Linked DNA regions of Ovis aries. The protein of the gene in region 1 interacts with the protein of each later gene in a pairwise test. Links are inferred from orthologs where the notes say so. Each region holds a gene or a part of one and is shown in the gene's direction. Other genes may lie near its edges. The genes, in order: RAB2B, GARIN6, GOLGA2 and FAM114A1.

Region 1 (5,950 bases):
CTTCTGATATGCAAGTTTAAATCTTTTGTCCATTTAAAAAGTGGATTATTTCACTCTGCAGAAGTACCTGAATATACTCTGAATCTAAGCCAGATATATGTAATAAAATATCTTCTCCCAGTCTGTGAAGTGCCTATTTAATTTCTTAATGATGTCTACTGATGAAAAGTTCTTAAATTTTGGAAATTCCCTGTTGCTCTAGTGGTCAGGACTTGGCACTCTCAACTGTTTGGGCCTGGGCTCAGTCCCTGGTTGGGGAACTACAACCTAGAGAGCTGCACAGCATGGCCAAAAAAAAAAAAACAAAAAAAAACCACACAAACCCAAAACACTTTATATTTCAAAGAAGTCGAATTTTTTCAACTTTTTTATGATAAGTTATTTTTGTGGACATTTCTTTTCCTTGCAAGAAACTCTATTAAGGTTTGTTACAGGATAAGTTCATGAATGCATGCCAAGTCGCTTCAGTCGTGTCCAACTCTTTGCCACCCTATGGATAAGTTCATTCAACAGCAATTGAGAATTCTTGATACAAAAAAAGTGATCAAATGGTTTATGCCAAGTTTGAAAACAATTAAAAATTCTCAAAAGACAGAAAGTTCAAAATTTCCGTTTCTCAAAGACTGAATTTATTTTTGTTCCACCCTTTTCTTTTGCCTTGTCTAAACAAATCATACATATTTATGACAACATTTCAATTAAACCTTTTCCAAGAACACTAAAGGACATCACCATGATCATTACTTCCACTTCACAACATCGTAATAAACTATTATTACAATCCTTTGACAGCTAGGGAAACTGACACATAAGGGTGAAGGAACCTACCCAAACTCTGAGGCACTGGCAAACAGAAACGCGTGCTCTACTCAACTCCATGTTTTCTCGCAAATATTCCCTTTCATTCTCTCACTAGCACAACAAGCTAACACTCTGTAAGTAAACATAACCATTAACTTTTCAAAAAATTGCTAGGTAGGAAGTTTCAACGAAACACATACCCCTTCAATAGAGTACGGTTTAAGAATGAACACATTCCACAGTTGACGTGTTAGGTAAACTCCTGCCCCTTCCCAAATTTCTTTGGCTGAAACATTCTCTCCCTCCTGCGATCTCCCATTATTGTACTTGTTTCTCCTCCACGAAAGGAGACAATTTCATTCTATACTCCAATACAGAATCGCTCTAAAATAGGTTCGCTTTTTCCAGAGTCCTGCTTTTCTGATGACAGCAGCTTTCCTGGCCTTCCGCGTAGTCCTCATAGGCTCTGAAGGCAGCTGCCACTTTTCTCCAGATATCGATCTCAGCCTCCGGTTCCCAACCCGGGCCCTGGCGTCCGCGCTCTCCTCCCCATCATCCTACCCCACCGCTGCCTCCCACCCTCTCCGCGCAGCGTCGGCAACTCATGCTCACCTCGGCCCCTGACAGGAAGGGGTGCGAGGGCCCTGTGATCGTCAGGTAATTGTCATTTCCTCCGGGAAACTGGAAACCAAAAGAAAGCCGCGGGGATAAGTTAGGGGAAGCAGAGAGTTAGATCGGAGCGACGTTTTCTGACCCAGACATTATGACAACACCTCCCAAACCCCGCTCTCTCTCCCCTCCCATCTGCCGCTTCCCGCTTCTGCTTCAACCCCGTCAGCCGCGCTCTCTCGCCAGGCTTCTCAACGCTCAGGAGCCTACCTCCATCTTCACACAACGGCTATCACGGTCTCAGTGAACTCATCACTCCCACCGCCCCCACACAGGACACGGAACTGCCGTCACTTCCCCAACGTCGTGCGTCGCTCTCCGCTGATTGGAAGGAGCGCCTTGGGGCTGCTGCGAGTCAGGCCCGGGAAGGCCGAGCGGACTGACAGGCTAGCTATCGCCTCCTGGAGCTTGGTGGGATAATGGCATGTAGGAGTGTTGGAGGCGTCCTCGGAGGTGGTATCTGGGTATTACCGTCGCTCCGACCGAAACGGGATTTCGAGGGAGAGCAATAGAGACGTTAACTGGGCTAGAGGGGCCGGAGGTCGATAGATTGAGCGGCTAGAGAGGCCGGAGGTAAGTGGCTGTAGAAGTCGGGCGGACCCGGAATCCAGAGGAAAAGGGACCATGACTTATGCTTATCTCTTCAAGTACATCATCATCGGAGACACAGGTAACCCGCGGGCGACAATCCTCAAGCTGGGGCGGGGATCCGAAACACCCAAGTCGGGGCTTGGGGGCGGGGCTCATTTAGTGGGCTGGGCGATTAAGTGAAGCGGGGGGCGGGGCGGGCCGCCGGGGGCGGGGCTCGGGGCTCCCCTTCCCCAGTCCTGGACGCCCCGACACTGGTCTGTTCTCGCTGCCTAACTCCTAACGCACGCGTCTTCTTTCAGGTGTGGGGAAGTCATGTCTCCTCCTGCAGTTTACAGACAAGCGATTCCAACCTGTCCACGACCTCACAATAGGTAAGCGCATATACCTCTCGTAGAATAGATTATGAAATCTGACTAAAATAGAAAGTTAGCAGCTTTAGTGTTCGAAGTAGAAAAGTTACGTCTTCCTATTTTGGGGTTAGTCCAAAGTTATGTTAAGTGAAGAATGACTAAATGCTGAGAAATGGGCAGTAGTGTAATGGGGAGTAGGTAATTGAAGGGTGACTAGATTTAGAGATGACCATGAGGTATGGATTAGTTGCCTCAGGATTTTTTTTTTTTTTTTAACAAATGTAGTTTGTATGTTTATGTAAAATCCTATGAAAACGTACTGTTAATTCAAAAACTCGCCTTACTCTGCGGTAAAGTAGTGTGAACCTCATTACTTTTTCAAAGTAATCACTACAGTATAGATTTTGTGTGTGTGTTGGAGAGGAGGAAGCAAATGGAAGAGCCATCCCAGACCTAGAATAAAAGGTACATGAAACTGGTAAGTTTTGTTTTAAAGAAAAGATATGATAATCATGAGTTTCAAGAACTCTCTGGTAAGCGTGGGAAATGTGAACATCTTCCACAAATTTGTGATATGGGACGACCTGCTGAGTTTTAACAACCCATTCCCCATAATCTCCATAACCCCAACCCAAATAAAGATTATATACATAAAACTAGCCTTCTTGCCATGCAGGTGCAGTTTCAGAGTAAAATCCCTAGCTCCCATTCTTACTATATTGCCACTTCCAAGTCCCACATTATGGAAATCTGAAGCTACTACTGATCCCACAGTACTTATTCAGAGCCAAATAACTAATGTGGTTAGAAAAGGATTTAGTATCAACAGGAAAATACTTTTGTAAATGACTATTGTGTACAACCACAATGTGCTAGGTGCTAAGTGATACAGTGCTTAACAAGGCAAACATGCCTACATTGAAAGCTCCAGTGTAGGAGGTGAGGTGAGGCTGGGGGCAGATACCAATGAATAAATTACTATTGCAAAAGGGGATAAGAGGCTGCCACATCTATCAGGAAAAGCTGAAAATGGAAGCATGAGAAGGAACTAGCCAAGCGAAGGGGTTGTGGAAGGTGAGAGAAAAGTGATCAGGCCAAGAGGGAAAAACAGGTGCAAAGGCTCAGGAATAACAAAGTTCAGGCTAATCTGGAAAACTGAAAGTAATTTAATATGGCTTGACCATGGAATTTAAAGAGAAGAGTGACAAGAAGTAAGAGTAGAGAACATCTGGGGTGGGGAAGGGGAGAGATGAGTTTTGACACACCTAAAGGTAATGAGCAAGTGACAGGTTTCAAAGTAGCAAAATGAAGTGATCAAGTTTTCCCAGAGTCCAACATATGCCCTGTTTCTTTCTGAATTCAGTCTTCTATACCAGGATAAACAAGGCAGTTGGCTATAAAATGTGCACAAAATATGAAGATTTTTTCATAATTAGAGGAAGTTGCATAAAAGGGGACAGAAGTTGTATTTTTTAATTCTTCACCATTGAAACTCCATTCCTCTTGTCCAGGAAGAAAACAAAATTAGTGACTTTTTTTTTCTTAGTAACTATCATTATTCTTGATGATGCAGTCTAGAGTAGTAAGAAACAATTTTTTAAATCTGCTTATTGACTGTAAAACTTTATAGAGTTGAGAGAGATTCTGGATATATTGTGCCTGGGGCCCCTGAATAGCAGAAGCTAGATTAGTGCTGTTTCTTACCTGCAGATCAGAATTCCTGGAGTAAAGTACTGTGTAAAGATAGAAAATAGGGCAAATTGTTTGACTTACAATCAAGTATTTTTAATGTAAGTGATCTTCGATTTTTAAGTTTTGACCTGACATTACCTTGATAGAAGTTGAATGCAGGTAAACTAAAACCTTTATTCGGACTATCTGTTTCCAAACCCCTGTGAGGCATGCTGTTTTTCTGATGAACTCTTGGAATTATTGGAGATCTGAAATGTTTCATTCTTGAGAACCTATTCTTAGATAGGTGCTTTTCTAAAAAAAAAATCTAAAATTGCAAAAAGCAAGTATTTATTGTTTCATATAGAGGACTAGAGAGTGACTTTGGGAAAATATTAAGAAATATTTTCAAAAAATTTAGAAGTTTTTTAGTTACAAATTAACCATTTCTTAATCAAATTTAAGCATTAAACAATAATTCTAAAAATTCATTCACTTTTTCTATTTGATTTCTTAATTAATTTTTATCCCCATATGTGCTTTTCAGTTATATTCCTGAGGTGGTTGTCACCTGGAACACAGTTTTTAATTCTAGAAGATAAAACTTTAAGGAGCAAAAAATTAATTGGAGCAAATAGGGAACTGTAATGGGCTTAGTAGCACCAAGTGCGGAGGATGAGTCGTTAGCACAATGAGGACAAGCATGAACCTCTTGTCACCATGGTTGTTCGTGAGAATCACATTCTTTCGGTTTTCACTGACAGGTGTGGAGTTTGGGGCCCGTATGGTCAACATTGATGGAAAACAAATCAAACTGCAAATCTGGGATACGGTAAGAGAAAACAAAAATACTTTAGTCCCAAATATAACAGTAAAGGCTGATGCAGGGATAAAGGGCTATGACGGAGGAGCTAAGGATGGAGGTCAGAGTTCAGTTCAGTTCAGTCACTCAGTCATGTCCAACTCTTTGCGACGCCATGGACTGCAGCATGTCAGGCTTCCCTGTCCATCACCAATAACTGGAACCTGCTCAAACTCATGTCCATCGAGTCAGTAATGCCATCCAACTATCTCATCCTCTGTCATCCCCTTCTCCTCTTGCATTTTTCCCAGCATCAGGGTCTTTTCCAGTGAGTTAGTTCTTCGCATCAGGTGACAAAAGTATTGGAGCTTCAGCTTCAGCATCAGTCCTTGCAATGAATATTCAGGACTGATTTCCTTTAGGATGGACTGGTTGGATCTCCTTGCAATCCAAGGGACTCTCAAGAGTCTTCTCCAACACCACAGTTCAAAAGTATTAATTCTTCAGCACTTAGCTTTCTTTATAGTCCAACTCTCACATCCATACATGACTACTGGAAAAACCAAAGCTCTGACTAGATGGACTTTTATTGGCAAAGTAATATCTCTGCTTTTTAACATGCTTTCTAGGTTGGTCATAGCTTTTCTTGCAAGGAGCAAGCGTCTTTTAATTTCATGGCTGCAGTCAGTCATTAAAAACTGCATAAGCAGTGATTTTGAAGCCCAAGAAAATAAAGTCTGTCACTGTTTCCATTGTATCCCCATCTACTTGCCATGAAATGATGGGACTGGATGCCATGATCTTAGTTTTTGAATGTTGAGTTTTAAGCCAGCTTTTTCACTGTCCTCTTTGACTTTCATCAAGAGACTCTTTAGTTCTTCTTCGCTCTTCTGCCATCAGAATGGTGTTGTCTGCATATCTAAGGTTATTGATATTTCTCCCGGCAATCTTGATTCTAGCTTGTGCTTCATCCAGCCTGGCATTTCGCATGATGTACTCTGCATATAAGTTAAATAAAATGGGAATATACAGCCTTGACATACTTCTTGCCCAAACTGGAACCAGT
Region 2 (5,710 bases), on another chromosome or scaffold:
TCTTGTCTTAGCTCTGATCAACTTCTATTGATTAAGGGGGCCAAGAATAGTGGTCTGTAACACAGGTGTACAAGGTACACTGGATCAGATATTATAATATATTGCCTAACAATTTTATTGTGAAGAAAATCTTGAAATATGAAGGATAAATATAATGAAACAATGTAAATTTAATATAAAAGAACAAGTATCTGAAGTTTAAGCTCTGGAAAACGGAAGAAAAAACAGAAGGCTACTATCGAGTCTTTGAGATAAATTACAGTGCACATAATATGCTTTGAGCTAAACACTCCTAGAATTAATAAACTGCCTAGTTATTCGATATAAATCCACATGATTTATACCAAAAATTCATTTACATTCTACAGAGGAAAAATATCTATTTGCTCCCTTCTTTCTAAAAAGATTTCTGAACTCTGGGAGAAAGTTTATGATGATTAATAGAGCGCTGCCAGAAATTTGTGTTAAGAGAAAAAAATTTAATCTTTAATATATATAAAGTTAATACTTGAAGCCAACTCTCAGTAAAAATTATATTTTGAGGGTTTTTTTTTCCCCAGAGAAATTAAAAGCCATATTGGATTTTCTAGAACTTTCCTACGGGGAAGCCTATCACACTCTAATTAAACGGCTGCCAGGAGGTAAGCATGCCCTGCTTACTACCTGCAGGTAGTGTATGACCCGCTTCCAGGCGCTCTTCATGCTCAGCTCACCTCGAGTTCAGAGCCATGATAAACCTTCTTAAATGCGACATCTAATAATAATGTAACAGAGACAATATTTTGGAAATATTAAACTAAGGGATGTTTCATCCTCCCTAAATTACAGTGCCTTCCATTTCCCTGCCTTATCTTATCACTGTCTATCAGATAAGATTAGGGAAATCTCAGGTCAGTGAAATGTATTCCTCATTTTCCCTAGTACAAACGAGAACTTAAAGAACTGCTACGTCAGAATCTCTGTGTGGGCCCTGAATGCAAATGAATGCATGCCTGGAAGCAACCTAAAGGCCATGGATGCTTTGGGAATTTGGCAGACATAGACTAGAGACACTTATCAGAAAGCTTCATGGTTGATCGTCTCAGAACTTGTTCCCATGAGAGCAGAACCTCTGTGAAAGAAGTAGTTAAATCTTTAAAAAGACCAAGCAGTAAAAGACCATTTGAAAAAGAAGAAAGCCTAGCCAGGAGCTAATTCCCTTTGAGGATTTTATTATCCCTGTGAGCTCTTGGATAAAGTGAAATAGCAGTCTCAGAGGGAACTGCTCTTTGAAGAAACGAGATGAGAGCTCAGCTTCTGAAGAAGTGGTCCCTGTATAAGCAGGGAGAGCACGAGACAGAGAGGGAGGTCATCGGGCCCATGCTTGAGGCCCAGCAGGAAGCACCGCAGGAGCTACAACTTGCATCCCAGGGAACTTCATGTGGATGCCATCAAACGTGACCCCAGTCTGTTCCCTTTTGAGAGGGAAAGGCCAGATCACATGCCTGCAGAAGGCCAGTACCACATCATCATCACGGTGTACACACCAGTGGAATTCAAGAGAGAGCTACAGGAAGCTGTCCTCAGAACACACTGCTCTTGAGAATCAGAATGACCTGGGTTCGAGGCTGCTTTACAAAATCATCAGTTCAGCTCAGTCACTCAGTCGTGTCTGACTCTTTGCGACCCCATGGACAGCACCACGCCAGGCCTCTCTGTCCATCAACAACTACTGGAGCTTGCTCAGACTCATGTCCATTGAGTTGGTGATGCCATCCAACCCTCTCATCCTCTGTCATCCCCTTCCTCCTGCCTTCAATCTTCCCAGCACCAGGGTCTTTTCCAATAAGTCGATTCTTCACATCAGGTGACCAAAGTATTGGAGCTTGCTGTTAATAAATAGAAGCTATGGAAGGAAGAAAGGAAAGAAGGAAGGAAGTGGGGGGAGGGAGGGAGGAAAGGAGGAGGAGGAGGAGGAAGGCAATGTCCAAAACTGAGCACCCATGTAGTGAGTTTAAAGTGGTTCAGAGAGCGATTTGAGTAGAGAGGACTTGAAATAGCCTCCCACAAATATCCCAGTGGTAGTAGTATGAGACAGAGAACCAGAAAAATTTCCAGTACCCCTAAGCCCTTGAAAGGTGAGTGAAACACAGCTGAAATTTAAGTCAGTAAACTTAAGTGCTTAAAGTCACCAAGTTACTACTTTGAGTTAAGATATGTCTGCCTCCAGAGACAGTTTTATCTCTCTCAAAATCCTACAGGGGTTTCTAAACATCTATTTTGAAATTTTGAAATTCTCTTATCTGGCATTCACCTGTCTCAAGATTCCCAAACCTATCCTTCTTCACTCAAAAATATATTAATAACACATGCATTTCTTATTGATACAATTAATTGTTGATATGAAGCAGGGCAAAGGCTAACAGAGTTTTGTCAAGAGAACACGCTGGTCTTAGCAAACACTCTCTTCCAAAAACACAAGAAAAGACTCTACACATGGACACCACCAGATGGTCAGCACCAAAATCACATTGATTATATTCTTTGCAGCCAAATGGAGATGCTCTATACAGTTAGCAAAAACAAGACCTGGAGCTGACTATGGCTCAGATCATGAGCTCCTGATTGGAAAATTCAGGCTTAAATTGAAGAAAGCAGGGAAAACCTCTAGACCATTCAAGCATGACCTAAATTAAACCCCTTATGAATATAGAGGAGGTGACAAATAGATTCAAGGTATTAGATCTGGTAGACAGAATGCCTGAAGAATAATGGACAGAGTTTTATAACATTGTAACACAGGAAGCAGTGACCAAAACCATCCTAAAGAGAAAGAAATGCAATAAGGCAAAGTGGTTGTCTGAGGAGGACTTACAAATAGTTGAGAAAAGTCAAGAGAAGCAAAAGGCAAAGGAGAAATGTAAAGATATACTCAACTGAATGCAGAGTTCCAGAGAATCGCAAGAAGAGATAAGAAAGCCTTAACTGAACAATGCAAAGTAATAGAGGAAAACAATAGAATGGGAAAGACTAGGGACGTCTTCAAAAATATTGGAGATAAAAAGGAAACATTTCATGCAAAGATGGGCACAATAAAGGACAGAAATTGCAAGGACCTAATAGAAGCAGAAGAGGTTAAGAAAAGGTGACAAGAATACAATGAAGAAGAACTATACAAAAAAAGGTCTTAATGACCCAGGATAACCATGATGGTGTGGTCACTTACCTAGAGCCACCTTCATATCCAGGAGTGTGAGGTCAAGCAGGCTTTAGGAAGCATTACCACAAACAAAGCTAGTGGAATAGACAGAATTCCAGCTGAGCCATTTAAAATCCTAAAACATGATAAACAGTTAAAGCGCTGCACTCAATATGTCAGCAAATTTGGAAAACTTAGTAGTGGTCACAGGACTGGAAAAAGTGAGTTTTCATTTCAATCCCAAACAAGGACAATGCCAAAGACTGTTCAAACTACCAGATAATTGCACTCATTTCACATGCTAGCAAAGTAATGGTCAAAATCCTTCAAGCTAGGCTTCAGCAGTATATGAATCAAGGACTTCCAGATGTACAAGCTGGATTTAGAAAACGGCAGAGGAACCAGGGATCAATTTGCAACATCTGTTGGATCACAGAAAAGGCACGAGAATTCAAGAAAAATTTCCACTTCATTGACTAGACTAAAGCCTTAGACTGTGTGGATTACAACAAACTGTGGAAAATTCTTAGAGATAGGAATACCAGACCATCTTACCTGTCTCTGAGAAACATGTGTGCAGGTCAAGAAACAACCGTCAGAATTGGGCAAGGAATGAAGGACTGATTCCAAACTGGGAAAGGATTATGTCAAGGTTGTATATTGTCACCCTGCTTATTTAACTTCTATGCAGAGAACATCATGCAAAATGCCAGGCTGGATGACTCACAAGCTAGAATCAAGATTCCTGGGAGAAATATCAACTTCAGATAATGCAGATGACACCTCTGTAATGGCAGAAAGTGAAGAGGAACTAAAGAGCTTCTTGATGAGGGTGAAAGAAAAGAATGAAAAAGCTGGCTTGATATTCAACATTCAGAAAACTAAGATTATTCCAAGGCAAATAGAAGAGGAAAAAGTGGAAGCAGTGACAGATTTTATTTTCTTGGGCTCCAAAATCACTGAGGACAGTGACTGCAGCCATGAAATTAAATGACACTTGCTCCTTGGAAGAAAAGCTCTGACAACAAACCTAGACAGTGTATTAAAAAGCAGACATCATTTTGCTGACAAAAGTCCATATTGTCAAAGCTATGGTTTTTCCAGTGGCCATGTATGAATGTGAGAGTTGTACCATAAAGAAGGCTGAGTGCCAAAGAATTGATGCTTTTGAATTATGGTGCTGGAGAAGACTCTTGAGAGTCCCTTGGACTGCAAGGAGATCAAACTAGTCAATCCTAGAGGTCACATCTATTGCTAGTTTCAAAATCAAATGAAAACCCAATAAAAATTAATTTTAAAAATAAGGAAAAATCTTAAAATAATGTTTTGAATAGTAAAAGATAATTTTAATAAAATGGTTTATCTCAAGAGATAGGAGAAGTTGAAATGCTGCTGGAAAGTGTTGTGGAGGAAGGAAGAAATTAAAACAATCCAAGCCTATATTACATAGTATCTTCATTAAAATGTCATTGAGTTAAAAAAAACTAATGAAATTATGTAACTTTTCCCTTAATAAACTATAATTTACCTTTCTGTAATGCAATTTGGCAATATATATAAAAGTCAATATATATATCAACAGAGGTTTGTATAGTCAAATTATGGTTTTTCCAGTAGTCATGTATAAATGTGAGAGTTGGATCATAAAGAAAGCTGAGAGCCAAAGAATTGATGCTTTGAACTATGGTATTGGAGAAGACTCTGCAGAGTCCCTTGGACTGCAAGGAGATCCAACCAGTCAATCCTAAAAGAAATCAGTCCTGAATATTCAAGACTGATGCTGAAGCTCCAATACTTTGGTCACCCGATGTGAAGAGCTGATTCATTGGAAAAGGCCCTGATGCTGGGAACGATTGAAGGTGGGAGGAAAAGGGGATGACAGAGTATGAGATGGTTGGATGGTATCACTGACTCGATAGACATGAGTTTGAGTAAGGTCTGGTAGTTGGTGATGGACTGGTAAGCCTGGCATACTGCAGTCCATGGGGTCACAAAGAGTTGGACGTGACTGAGTGTCTGAACTGAACTATAAACGTCTTAAAAAGATACTTACCTCTGTTCAGTGATTCAATTTTTCCAAGGAAATAAAATCAAAGATAGAGGATTTATGCATAAATGTGTTCATCAGAACATAATTACTAACAGTAAACTACTATCAACAATCTAAATGACTGGGTAGAGTCAGGAAAAGAGTGAAAATAATCTCAATAGAGGATGATTTTTTAAAAATCACTCTAGTATATTTTTAAAATTAAATATTATGCAAAGAAAAGGCAGAGGAATCAAATTGCCAATATATGTTGGATCATAGAGAAAGCAAGAGAATGTCAGAAAAACATCTACTTCTACTTCACTGACTATGCTATAACCATTGACTATGTGGGTCACAATAAACTGTGGAAAATTCTTAAAGCAGTGGGAATACTAGACCACCTTACCCATCTCCTGAGAAACAGGTCAAGAAGCAACAGCCAGAATCAGACACGGAAGAGACTGGTTCAAAATTGGTAAAGGAGTACATCAAGGCTGTAT
Region 3 (5,254 bases), on another chromosome or scaffold:
ACACCCCCGCGTGGCTCCCAGCACGTGTGACTGTCACGACTGCTCAACACCGGTCCTGCCAGCTCTGCACCCCTGCACTCATGACAGCGAGGCACTCTTTGCCCTGCATGGCCCCCTAACCCCCTGCTCTGTTCTGTGACAGGCGCCCAAAGACCGCGCCGCTCCTGTTACACCATCTGCTGATGACACCGTGTCACCTGGCGGTGTCCCTTCCCCCAGTGCTAGTCCCCCCCGTGTCACTAGCATGGCATCAACTCAGGTTTGTGCCTCTTCCCCCTTGGCCCGCTCTGTGTTCACCCCCTCCTGTTTCCCGGAGGACTGGACCTCCTGTGGACCCTCGTCCTTTTTTTCCAGGTATCTTGGCTCTGTGAGCCAGGTGCCCTTCCTGAGGACTGGGATGGGGGAGCCCAAAACCAGACTCCCCTTAAGCTTCAGGGAGGTGGAAAGTGGTCGGAATGAGCTTGGTGCCTGTAGGTGGTTCCTCCTAAAACTTGAATGACCAATTCCTGTGTTTCTTCCCAAACAGAACCATGATGCCGACAACCGTTCTGGTCCCATTGACGAAAGCACGTGAGTGTCTCCCACGGGGGCACCAGTCCCTAGGCCACCGCCCCGTGACCCCCCCTTTCCCATCGAGCCTCCTGCACCCCTGACTGCTGTGTTCATCCCCAGATCCTTTTCATCCACCGAGAGTCTGCGACAGCTGTCTCAGCAGCTCAACGGTCTTGTGTCCGAGGTACCCCGAAAACTGGAGCTCGGCATGGGTTAGAGTAGGAGGGAAAATATGATAGAAAGAAACTGAGGCAGAGACTCCCCAAAGGAAGGGAAGATCCTGGGACCGGGCAGCTTGGCTGGATAATGTTTAGCTGATCATTACTTCTCTGAGTCTCCTCTTTGAAGCCATGCAAATGAAGGGGTTGGACAATGAGATTGGTTACATCGTTTGATCCTGTAGATGAGAGCTCTTTGGGAGGGGAGGGACAAGGGGGAGCTAAGAACCAGGAGAAACTGGCGCAGGGAGGGATTAAGGGGCAGGAGGCAAGTTAGGCAGAAGAGGAAATGTTACCTCCAGCAAGATGCTGGAGGGGGTCAGAGAACATCTCCATGTGAGCCCTTTCGTCTCTCCTAGTCTTCGTCTTACATCAATGGGGAGGGCCTAGCATCTCCTGCTAATATAAAGAATCTGGAGGTAAGTGGGCCTGCACCTTGGCCCAGTGACCCTGCAGGCCAGCACTGCCCCCCACCTCCTCCCATGGTGGGGGCTGGGTGCCCCACCCAGCTGAGACAGCCCAGACACCCCCCGACCCTAATGATTGCTCTCTCTACCTCTCCCTACCCCTCCTCCACCTCCTCCTCCTCTCTGCATGCGCCTCAGAGCCGGTACCAAGAACTATCAGTAGCCCTGGACTCCAGCAATCTAAAAAACAAACAACTCAGTAGCAAGATAGAGGAATTGGTAAGAGTCCGGTGTTGTCCCCTGATCCATGTTGCCAATATGGGGCTCCGGTCTCACCTTGGGGCTCTTGAAGAAAGGGGCTGGGGATCCCTGGTGCCAAGGGAGAAGGGGGTGCTGGGAGGCCTAGGTCTCAGCTGGAGGGACCCCGGAGCATGGCATGCAGCATGGCTCTCTCTGTGGCTGCCCTCTTTGCCTATTCTGTTCTCCAGACACCTCTGCTCGAGTCCTCCCCACCTTGCCATGGGTCTGTTGCCTGTAGGGGAGGCACTAGCTTGACTGGTGTGTTCCAGCCCTGACCCAGCCCCTGATTTGTTCCGACTTCGACCTTGGACAAGTCACCTCTCCTCCTTGGCCTTTAGTTTCCTGAGGAGGTAGAATCAGAGGGTGTCCAAGGTCCCTTTTAAGCCCCCAAAAAGGTTTCAAGGTCCTTTTCATTCATGTATCAGTGTTGTTAAGAACAGAACCTGGCCTGTGATGTGTTTGCTCAGTGAACATTCCTTGAGTGTGAGCTGGCAGAGGGTGGTCTTCACCTTCTCAGACTCCATTTCTAGAGGTTTATGTCATTGTCCCTTCAAGGGAATCAGATCCAGACCCTTGCTGCTGTAGCCATGAGCAAAACCTGCCAAGGCTCAAAGTCTCTTAGCTTGAGAAGCGTTCATTCGTTTGTGTCCCCGTGAACCCTCCCTTTCTAACCCCTTCCTGGCCCCTGCCTGCGGCCCCTCCTCCTTGGTCTGAGGATCGTGGGGAAGGAGGACAACCTCAGTCACCTTCCTTTGCCTCTCCCCACAGAAACAAGAGAACCAGGAAACTTTGGATCAACTGGAAAAAGTAATGTGATTTCTTTGTTTCCTCCATGGTTAATGGGGCTTCCCTGGTGGCTCAGTGGTAAAGAATCCACCTGCCAGTGCAGGAGATGAGGATTCAATCCCTGGGTCAGGAAGATCCCCTGGAGAAGGAGGTGGCAACCCACTCCATTGTTCTTGTCTGGGAAATCCCAGGGACAGAGGAAGCCTTTCGGGCTACAGTCCATGGGGTTGCAAAAGAGTCAGATACAACTTAGCGACTAAACAACCCATGGCTGATGGGTTTGGGGGAGGATTCAGATGTAGAGGACCATTCTCCTCTTGGCTGCTTACAGCCTGGAGGAATAGGGGGCTTCCCCCTTTGCCTCCTCGCCGGTCTTCCACTCCCAGGGCGCCGATTATCTGTTCTCATTGGTGGGCCTGTCCTGGGCCTGTGGTGGCATCCCTGGGCGGGGCACATGTCCTTTTCTCTTTCACTTTTGCGTCCTCCCAGTAAGAGTTGTTTCTTCTCTCTTTCTGCAGGAAAAGAAGGAATTTGAGCAGAAGCTCGCAAAGGAACAAGGGGCTCTGCGAGAGCAGCTGCAGGTGAGCAGACTCTTCCAGGGTCCCTTGTGGCCCCCAGGAAACATTGCTTTTCCACATTGTCAGCACTCGTTTGGCCTTTCTCCTAAAGGTCCACATTCAGACTATCGGGATTCTGGTGTCAGAGAAGACGGAGTTACAGACAGCTCTGGCTCACACCCAGCAGGCAGCCAGGCAGAAAGCAGGTGGGAATCTAGGCACCCTTTTACCCTTGGGCTGGCTAGGCCTTTGGTGGGATTCCTTCTCTGGACTTCCCCTCTCTGCTGTCATTTCAGGGGAGTCAGAGGATCTTGCTAACCGCCTGCAGTCTTCCAGGCAGCGCGTGGGAGAGCTGGAGCGGACGCTGTCTGCCGTCTCCACGCAGCAGAAGCAGGCCGACAGGGTGAGCCCAGCAGCCTGCCCATCCCCTGGAGGTCACGTGGATGGGTTGTGAGCCTAAAGGTCTCTCCGGCAGGATGGAATGACTGGCTGCCCAGACGGCAGCACTGTCCGTTTCTTGCTGCGTTAGAGTTGTGTGGTTGTGAAATGCGATCTGGACACGAGTTGGTTGCCATGGTCGAGTTGTGGGGAGGGGCTGGGGAGTGCCACCTAGAGTGAGCACTAGATGAGCCCAGACCCTGAGTGTCAGCCAGCCCTGCCTTTAACTGCATGGGTTCTGGCTCAGGTGCTGGGTGTTCAGGCTGTGAAGGTTCAGATCAGTATTTTTAGTCCATGACCACACTAAAAAGGGAGGAGTACATGTGTGTAATATATATGACATGTCGGAAAGGACTCATGTAAAACCCAAGGAAGGGACTTCCCTGGTGGTCCAGAGGCTGAGACTGTGTGCTCCCAGTGCAGGGGGGAACTAGATCCCACATGCTGCAACTAAGACCCAGTGCAGCCAAATAAATATTTTTAAAAAGCCCAAGGGAGAGGAATAGGGTGGCTTAGAGACCTGTCGCTTTTGTACCTTCTAAGTTTGGGGCTGTGAATGTCCCATCCATTCAAAAAATGAACAAAAGATTACAATGCATTTTAATCTATCCCTCGTGGTCATGCCCTAACCCCAGGGCCAAAAACAAGGTTGAAGAATCCCAGGTCTAAGTGATTTTAGGCGAGCTCCTTAATCTCTAATATTCCTCATTCACTGATAAAATGGAGATAGCAGCTGCCTCCACGGTGATTGTGAGTTGGGAATGTTGGCTAAGAAAGTGTTCAGAAAAGGTTCAGAGGTGATGCTGCTAACAGTGAAAACGGTGGCCGGCCCAGAGTCAGACCGCCCCACCTTCCTCTTCCAACCTTCCCGAGTCCTTACTAAAACCAAAGGAGAGCATGAGCTTGGATGAGCTTTGAAAAAACGTAAAGGCCTCACACCAGGTGAGGACGTGTTGCTGGGAGCCGTTCTGTTGCTGTTGCTGGGCTGCATTTTCCGCCTGCCTTCTCCTGACCTCGCCTTTCTGTGTTCGCAGTACAACAAAGAATTAACCAGAGAGCGAGATGCCCTCAAGCTGGAATTATACAAGAACAAGTAGGATGGGGGGTGATGGGGGGGACTGGGAAGTGGGGGAGATCCAAGGGAGTCGGGTGAGAAAGAGGGTACATGTTTGGACGTGTGCAGAGCCAGGCTGTCAGCCAGCCGTGCCCCTAAACCCCTGCTGTGGCCTCAGGCAGCTTGTGTCTTCTCTCTGGGCTGCCTCTTGAGACTCCTGGTGCTGGGGTCCCTTCCAAAGTGACTTTTATGGCAGGAGTAGTGGGTGGATCATGGGAGCGTTCCTCTCTGTTCAGCACTCACACCTCCCTCTGGCCGCAGTAAGAACAACGAGGACCTGAAGCAGCAAAACTCAGAGCTGGAGGAGAAGCTGCGGCTCCTGGCGATAGAGAAGTCAGCCATGCAGCTGGGCATGGAGGATCTGCAGAAGAAGCTGGAGATGTCGGAGCTGCTGCTGCAGCAGGTAGGGCTGAAGCCCTGGGGTGTGCAGGCCCCACCTGGCAGGGCCAGGTCCTCTCAGGGTCACTGTGGTGCCCTCCGACCAGGAACCAGAAAGTTTGGATCCTTGTTCTGGTTCTGCCATAGACTTCTCTAGAGACAAGAGAAAAACTAGGACCTTGCCCAGATCTCAGGAATGTGATACGGCTTATTTATTTATATATATATATTTAAAGCATCCTAGTTGAAAACCGTTGTTTTATGGATGATGTTGGGTTGGCCAAATAGGTCCTATGAGTTTTTCCATAATATTGCATGGAAAAACCTGAACAAACTTTTTGACCAAACCAATAGTTGTAAGGCCAGCCCGTGAGTTTCTGCTTCCTTCCTCTCGGATGCCAAGCCTCCAGGTAGACAGTGCCCAGGTCAGTTTCTTCTTCATTGTTTTGGCATGCCCAGCAAATTTCTGCCTTCGTGCCACCTGTAAGGGTATGGTTAAAGTAT
Region 4 (4,190 bases), on another chromosome or scaffold:
TCAGGAATACACAAATTGTCGTTTTGAAGAAGGAAAAAACCAGATCTAAAGATGGTTTATGAAATGCCATCTCACCACAACAGTACCTCTTGTCTTGTGCTGTAATAAATCATTCATATCAAGTTATTGTTTCTGCTCTCTGAAAGAGCCATTATTCATAACTTGAAGTTAATGAGTGTATATTGCTCTCCAGACTCTATTTAAATTGCTTGCACATCTCATTGATTCTGAAAGCCAATGTCATTTTATTGCCCTCATTTTGATTATATTTTAGAGGTTTATTGATAATCAAATAAACATGAAAGCAAACCATAATGGATTTTCTGGTTACTTACTAAAATGACTAGGTTTTTAAAGAGTTTTTTCCCAAGACTCCATTATGCTTTCCCCAGTAAGACATTATTTAGCCCTCAATAGAGTAATGTCAATGAAAGTGGGCTGCTCTGGGAAGACAGACTTCATTTATATCCTTTTGTTTACCATAACATTTTTCGAGTACCGTGAGAGAAAACAGCCTATTAAGACTGCCGTCTCTCTTTCTAGTCCCTTTAATTATTTATTGTCTAAGAGTAGACTGAACATTTTAGATAGAGAAGACTGTTGATTAATGGACCAATAGCAGACATAATAATGGTTACATGGACACTAACACTTTTTGAACACCTGCTTAACACTGGACTCTGTATTCTGCACTTTACATATATTCATGTTTTGCAAACTGGAATCTGCCAACCTGTTTGCAAGTTATAGTCGAGTATTTTAACTTTGCTGCCAACCTAGAAGACATACCCTAAAACCAAGTACCTGTGCTTGTATTTAAAAGAAAAATAGACAGACTAGGGCTGGGACTAGTAAAGGCAAGTAAAGGTACTTAACCTGTCTACCAAATTTAAGGGGACCATCTCTCAAAAAGAGACAAATAGACAACCTCAGTCATCTAGATAGATGCAATATTTTAAAAATCAAAATGAATACCAAAAGTCATGATGAACAAAATATAAAAATTTTAAGCAAAGACTGAAGCTAACTCTGTCCAACTCAATCTCACTCACCTCCCCCTAATCCCAAACCTGATATAAGATTTGAATGGTTTAAAAGGTCTGAGTTTAAACTTCTAGCTACATGACCTTAAATAACTTCCTCAACCTTCCTGATTCATATTTTCTCATCTGTGAATCAGAGTTATCGTGGTCCCTGCCTACCCCCTAAAATCTCTGTGGAAATTAAATGAGATCGTATAGGGGAAGCACCAAGTATGAAGCCTCATGTATAGTAAGCATTCCACTTCTCCTCTTCTTCTCTAAGAGATCCCTCATAAAGCCAGCATCTTAACACTTTGACAAGCCTTGGAGTATGAGCACCTAATCTGTCAATTTCATACTTTTGATTCCACAGAGCAACCAGAAGGCCGAGGTCCTTAACCCCATGATCAATAGTGTATTGTTAGAGGTAAGTGGCCCCCAGAGAGAAAATGCTTCTGAATTAAACCAAATGTTAGAGCTACACATTTTGTCTTTCTCTCAGACAGCAAGTATTTCTGCAATTCTAAATTTTATCGTCTACAGTCTTTTTTTAGTACATTTGTATAGTTCAACCAGCTGTAAACCCTCGAGTGAAACAACAATACCTAATTTTCAAGAATCCTGATTATAAAGAGAAATGCTAAGCTTGCACATTATTTCTGTCGCTGTTTCCTCCGGCAGAAGCACATTTCTGCTGCCAAGTTTGACACCAGATTTAACACTGTGATTTTTGGCTGCAACGAGGAATTCTTGCTCAATGGTGAATTTTTGTTAAAGTGGGCACTTTCCTCCATTCACAATAACCTTGGGTTTAGCCGGGTCTAAGTTCCAGACTGGCAACAAATGACAGGTAAATATTTAGCATCTGCCCATTCACTAACCAGAGGCAAGATCCTCTGTGACCACTCACTCCATGGCCAGCCCACACACCAGGACATTGTAACACGGACATGTAGCTGCCCCACACAGCTGTGGCTTTGCCAGAAGCAGCAATGTAAAAGAAAAGAAAAGGAAAGGGACCTAGGACGCCTCATTCTTGACCTGTAGGTGCTGTGTTCCATCTGTGGCTAGTGGGGGAAATTCTTCTATTACGGATCAGCCATAAGGAACTGGCACTTCTGTAGCCCCACGGCACCCAGCTGAAGCCGCAAGGTGTTGACAAGTTAAGTTTGAATATAAGCAGTGTATATACAGTGGTTTCTTGCTCTCTGAAGTACCTGTCAAATGCAAAATTTGGAAATTACAAAAGTGAGGGAGGGCTACATATAAATATATAGCAATGCACTTAGGAATTGAGTCTTACCTTTAAGGAAAGCTACCGAGGTACAGGAGTAACAGTGGTGACCCTAAGTGTTATTGCTTAAGACACAGCCTCCCAGAGGGATGGAGTTGACATGCAGGGAAGATTCTGGAGGATAGAGCTAAAGGAAATCCAAGCAATCAGAGGCAGAACATGGAACCTGAGAACATTTTCCTTGGCCACCCAAAAGGCATTAGCAGATGAATTACTGTTGGTCATGAAGAGTATGAAGTCAAATCATTTATTCATTCCTTTGGTGGAAGTTTTCTCCTGTTTTAATTACCTGGAACTTTAAGTGGTCTCTCGTGGAATACTGTCTGTTAGAGCACCCATGAACATGAATAGCAATGTCAAAGATCCAAACCAAGTGGAGAGTACCAACATGAATAGGAAGATGACAGCATTCAAGGATTTGCCGTGAATAATTGCACAATATCTCCAGTAACCCATTATTGTTTATTCATCTGTACATGTTAGTCCCTCAGTCGTGTCTGACTCTTTGCCACCCCATGGACCATAGCCCACCAGGCTACTCCGTCCATGGGAACTTCCTGGCAAGAATACTGGAGTGGGTTGCTATTTCCTTCTCCAAGGGATCATCCCAACCCAGAGATGGAATTCAGGTCTCCTGCATTGCAGGCAAATCCTTTACCATCTGAGCTACCAGGGAAGCCCTTCTTCATCTGTAGGTTAGGACAAACTACAGCCTCTTTCATGCTGTGCTTTTGTGTTATTTCAGGGCAGTGAGATTGATCTGGAAAAAGGATAAGTAAGACTGGACATAATGGGTATTGACTATACACACATAATATACCCTAGAGTTTAAGTGTTAGTCACTCAGTCATGTCCAACACTTTGTATCCCCATGGACTCTGTTCATGGGATTCTCCAGACAAGAATACTGGAGTGGGTTTCCATTTCCTTCTCCAGGGATCTTCCTGATACCAGGGATCAAACCCAGGTCTGCTGCATTGCAAGCAGATTCTTTACCATCTGAGCTAAAGGAAATATACCCTAATATACCCTAAAAGTCTATGGAAATGGCTTGCCTCAAGTGAATTCTTCTCTCTGTTAGTGTAGATAATTGAGAGCTGGTTGCAAGCCATCCAACAAAATGTGTTTATATCTGCTTTAAGCAACAGCATTAAAAGAAAAATGTTCTAAAATAGTGTGGGGTTTGAGGAGAAGAACATTATCAAATGGGAAGAATTGTCAAGCTGGAACTCTGACAGTAACCCTTCAATGACAGTTTTCTCCATTCACAGGGCTGCAATAGCACCACATACATACAGGATGCCTTCCAGCTGCTGCTGCCTGTCCTGCAGGTTTCACACATCCAGACCAGTTGTTCCAAAGCACAGCCATGACCTGGCCAGACTTCATCTTGTTAAAGGAAACAGTGGGCCCTGTTGCTCTGATGTGCATTTCATGGGAAGTTTTCCATGCATCCAGCCACAGACGTCTGTTTGGAGACACTACAAGCAATTTTGCACAGACAGTATTGAAAATGCAAGTTTAAAGAGAGTATCATTTCTCTTAATGTATATGGTTGTTTTTACAAATAATTATGTTTCTTTTATATTAATTTAAACTTTCACAGCTTTGTATTGATAATTTCCTTTAATCTAGAGTTCACTTACAAATATTCATTTCCATTTTCCTGGTTAAGCATGTTATCTTTGGCAAGTTATGAGTGGACCCTAGACTTTAAATTTCTACTTTAAATTTTCCCATTCTTATAGTATGACTTTAAATCAGTTCTTATAGTGGACTTAGTTTTATTATATAAATGCCATGGGAAGAGATAACACTACTTATAGATTTTTGCCTATTATAGTGAAAGGGAATATAGGTGTCTCTTTATAGTC

What was found.
Region 2: the proteins of RAB2B (region 1) and GARIN6 interact in binary tests that used the Homo sapiens proteins (3 or more experiments, as listed by UniProt). The two-hybrid records come from large-scale screens. The link is inferred for Ovis aries from reciprocal best matches to the Homo sapiens genes RAB2B and GARIN6.
Region 3: the proteins of RAB2B (region 1) and GOLGA2 interact in binary tests that used the Homo sapiens proteins (3 or more experiments, as listed by UniProt). The two-hybrid records come from large-scale screens. The link is inferred for Ovis aries from reciprocal best matches to the Homo sapiens genes RAB2B and GOLGA2.
Region 4: the proteins of RAB2B (region 1) and FAM114A1 interact in binary tests that used the Homo sapiens proteins (3 or more experiments, as listed by UniProt). The two-hybrid records come from large-scale screens. The link is inferred for Ovis aries from reciprocal best matches to the Homo sapiens genes RAB2B and FAM114A1.

What each region holds. Positions count from the first base shown.
Region 1 is NC_056060.1:24,039,254-24,045,203, forward strand, and holds the start of RAB2B (ras-related protein Rab-2B), read left to right. Parts: upstream 1-2,045; 5' UTR 2,046-2,094; coding exon 2,095-2,140; intron 2,141-2,360; coding exon 2,361-2,432; intron 2,433-4,846; coding exon 4,847-4,914; intron 4,915-5,950. Other genes in the region: TOX4 (TOX high mobility group box family member 4), read right to left, coding at 1,414-1,482, 1,681-1,686. UniProt on the Homo sapiens protein: The small GTPases Rab are key regulators of intracellular membrane trafficking, from the formation of transport vesicles to their fusion with membranes. Rabs cycle between active GTP-bound and inactive GDP-bound states.
Region 2 is NC_056056.1:169,270,214-169,275,923, forward strand, and holds the start of GARIN6 (Golgi-associated RAB2 interactor protein 6), read left to right. Parts: upstream 1-2,068; coding exon 2,069-2,117; intron 2,118-5,710.
Region 3 is NC_056056.1:8,018,019-8,023,272, forward strand, and holds part of GOLGA2 (golgin subfamily A member 2), read left to right. Parts: intron 1-142; coding exon 143-259; intron 260-526; coding exon 527-570; intron 571-672; coding exon 673-736; intron 737-1,129; coding exon 1,130-1,189; intron 1,190-1,375; coding exon 1,376-1,456; intron 1,457-2,245; coding exon 2,246-2,284; intron 2,285-2,781; coding exon 2,782-2,844; intron 2,845-2,932; coding exon 2,933-3,026; intron 3,027-3,116; coding exon 3,117-3,223; intron 3,224-4,292; coding exon 4,293-4,351; intron 4,352-4,633; coding exon 4,634-4,775; intron 4,776-5,254. UniProt on the Homo sapiens protein: Peripheral membrane component of the cis-Golgi stack that acts as a membrane skeleton that maintains the structure of the Golgi apparatus, and as a vesicle thether that facilitates vesicle fusion to the Golgi membrane.
Region 4 is NC_056059.1:58,873,083-58,877,272, forward strand, and holds part of FAM114A1 (protein NOXP20), read left to right. Parts: intron 1-1,395; coding exon 1,396-1,647; 3' UTR 1,648-3,587; coding exon of another isoform or gene 3,588-3,689; 3' UTR 3,690-4,190. UniProt on the Homo sapiens protein: May play a role in neuronal cell development.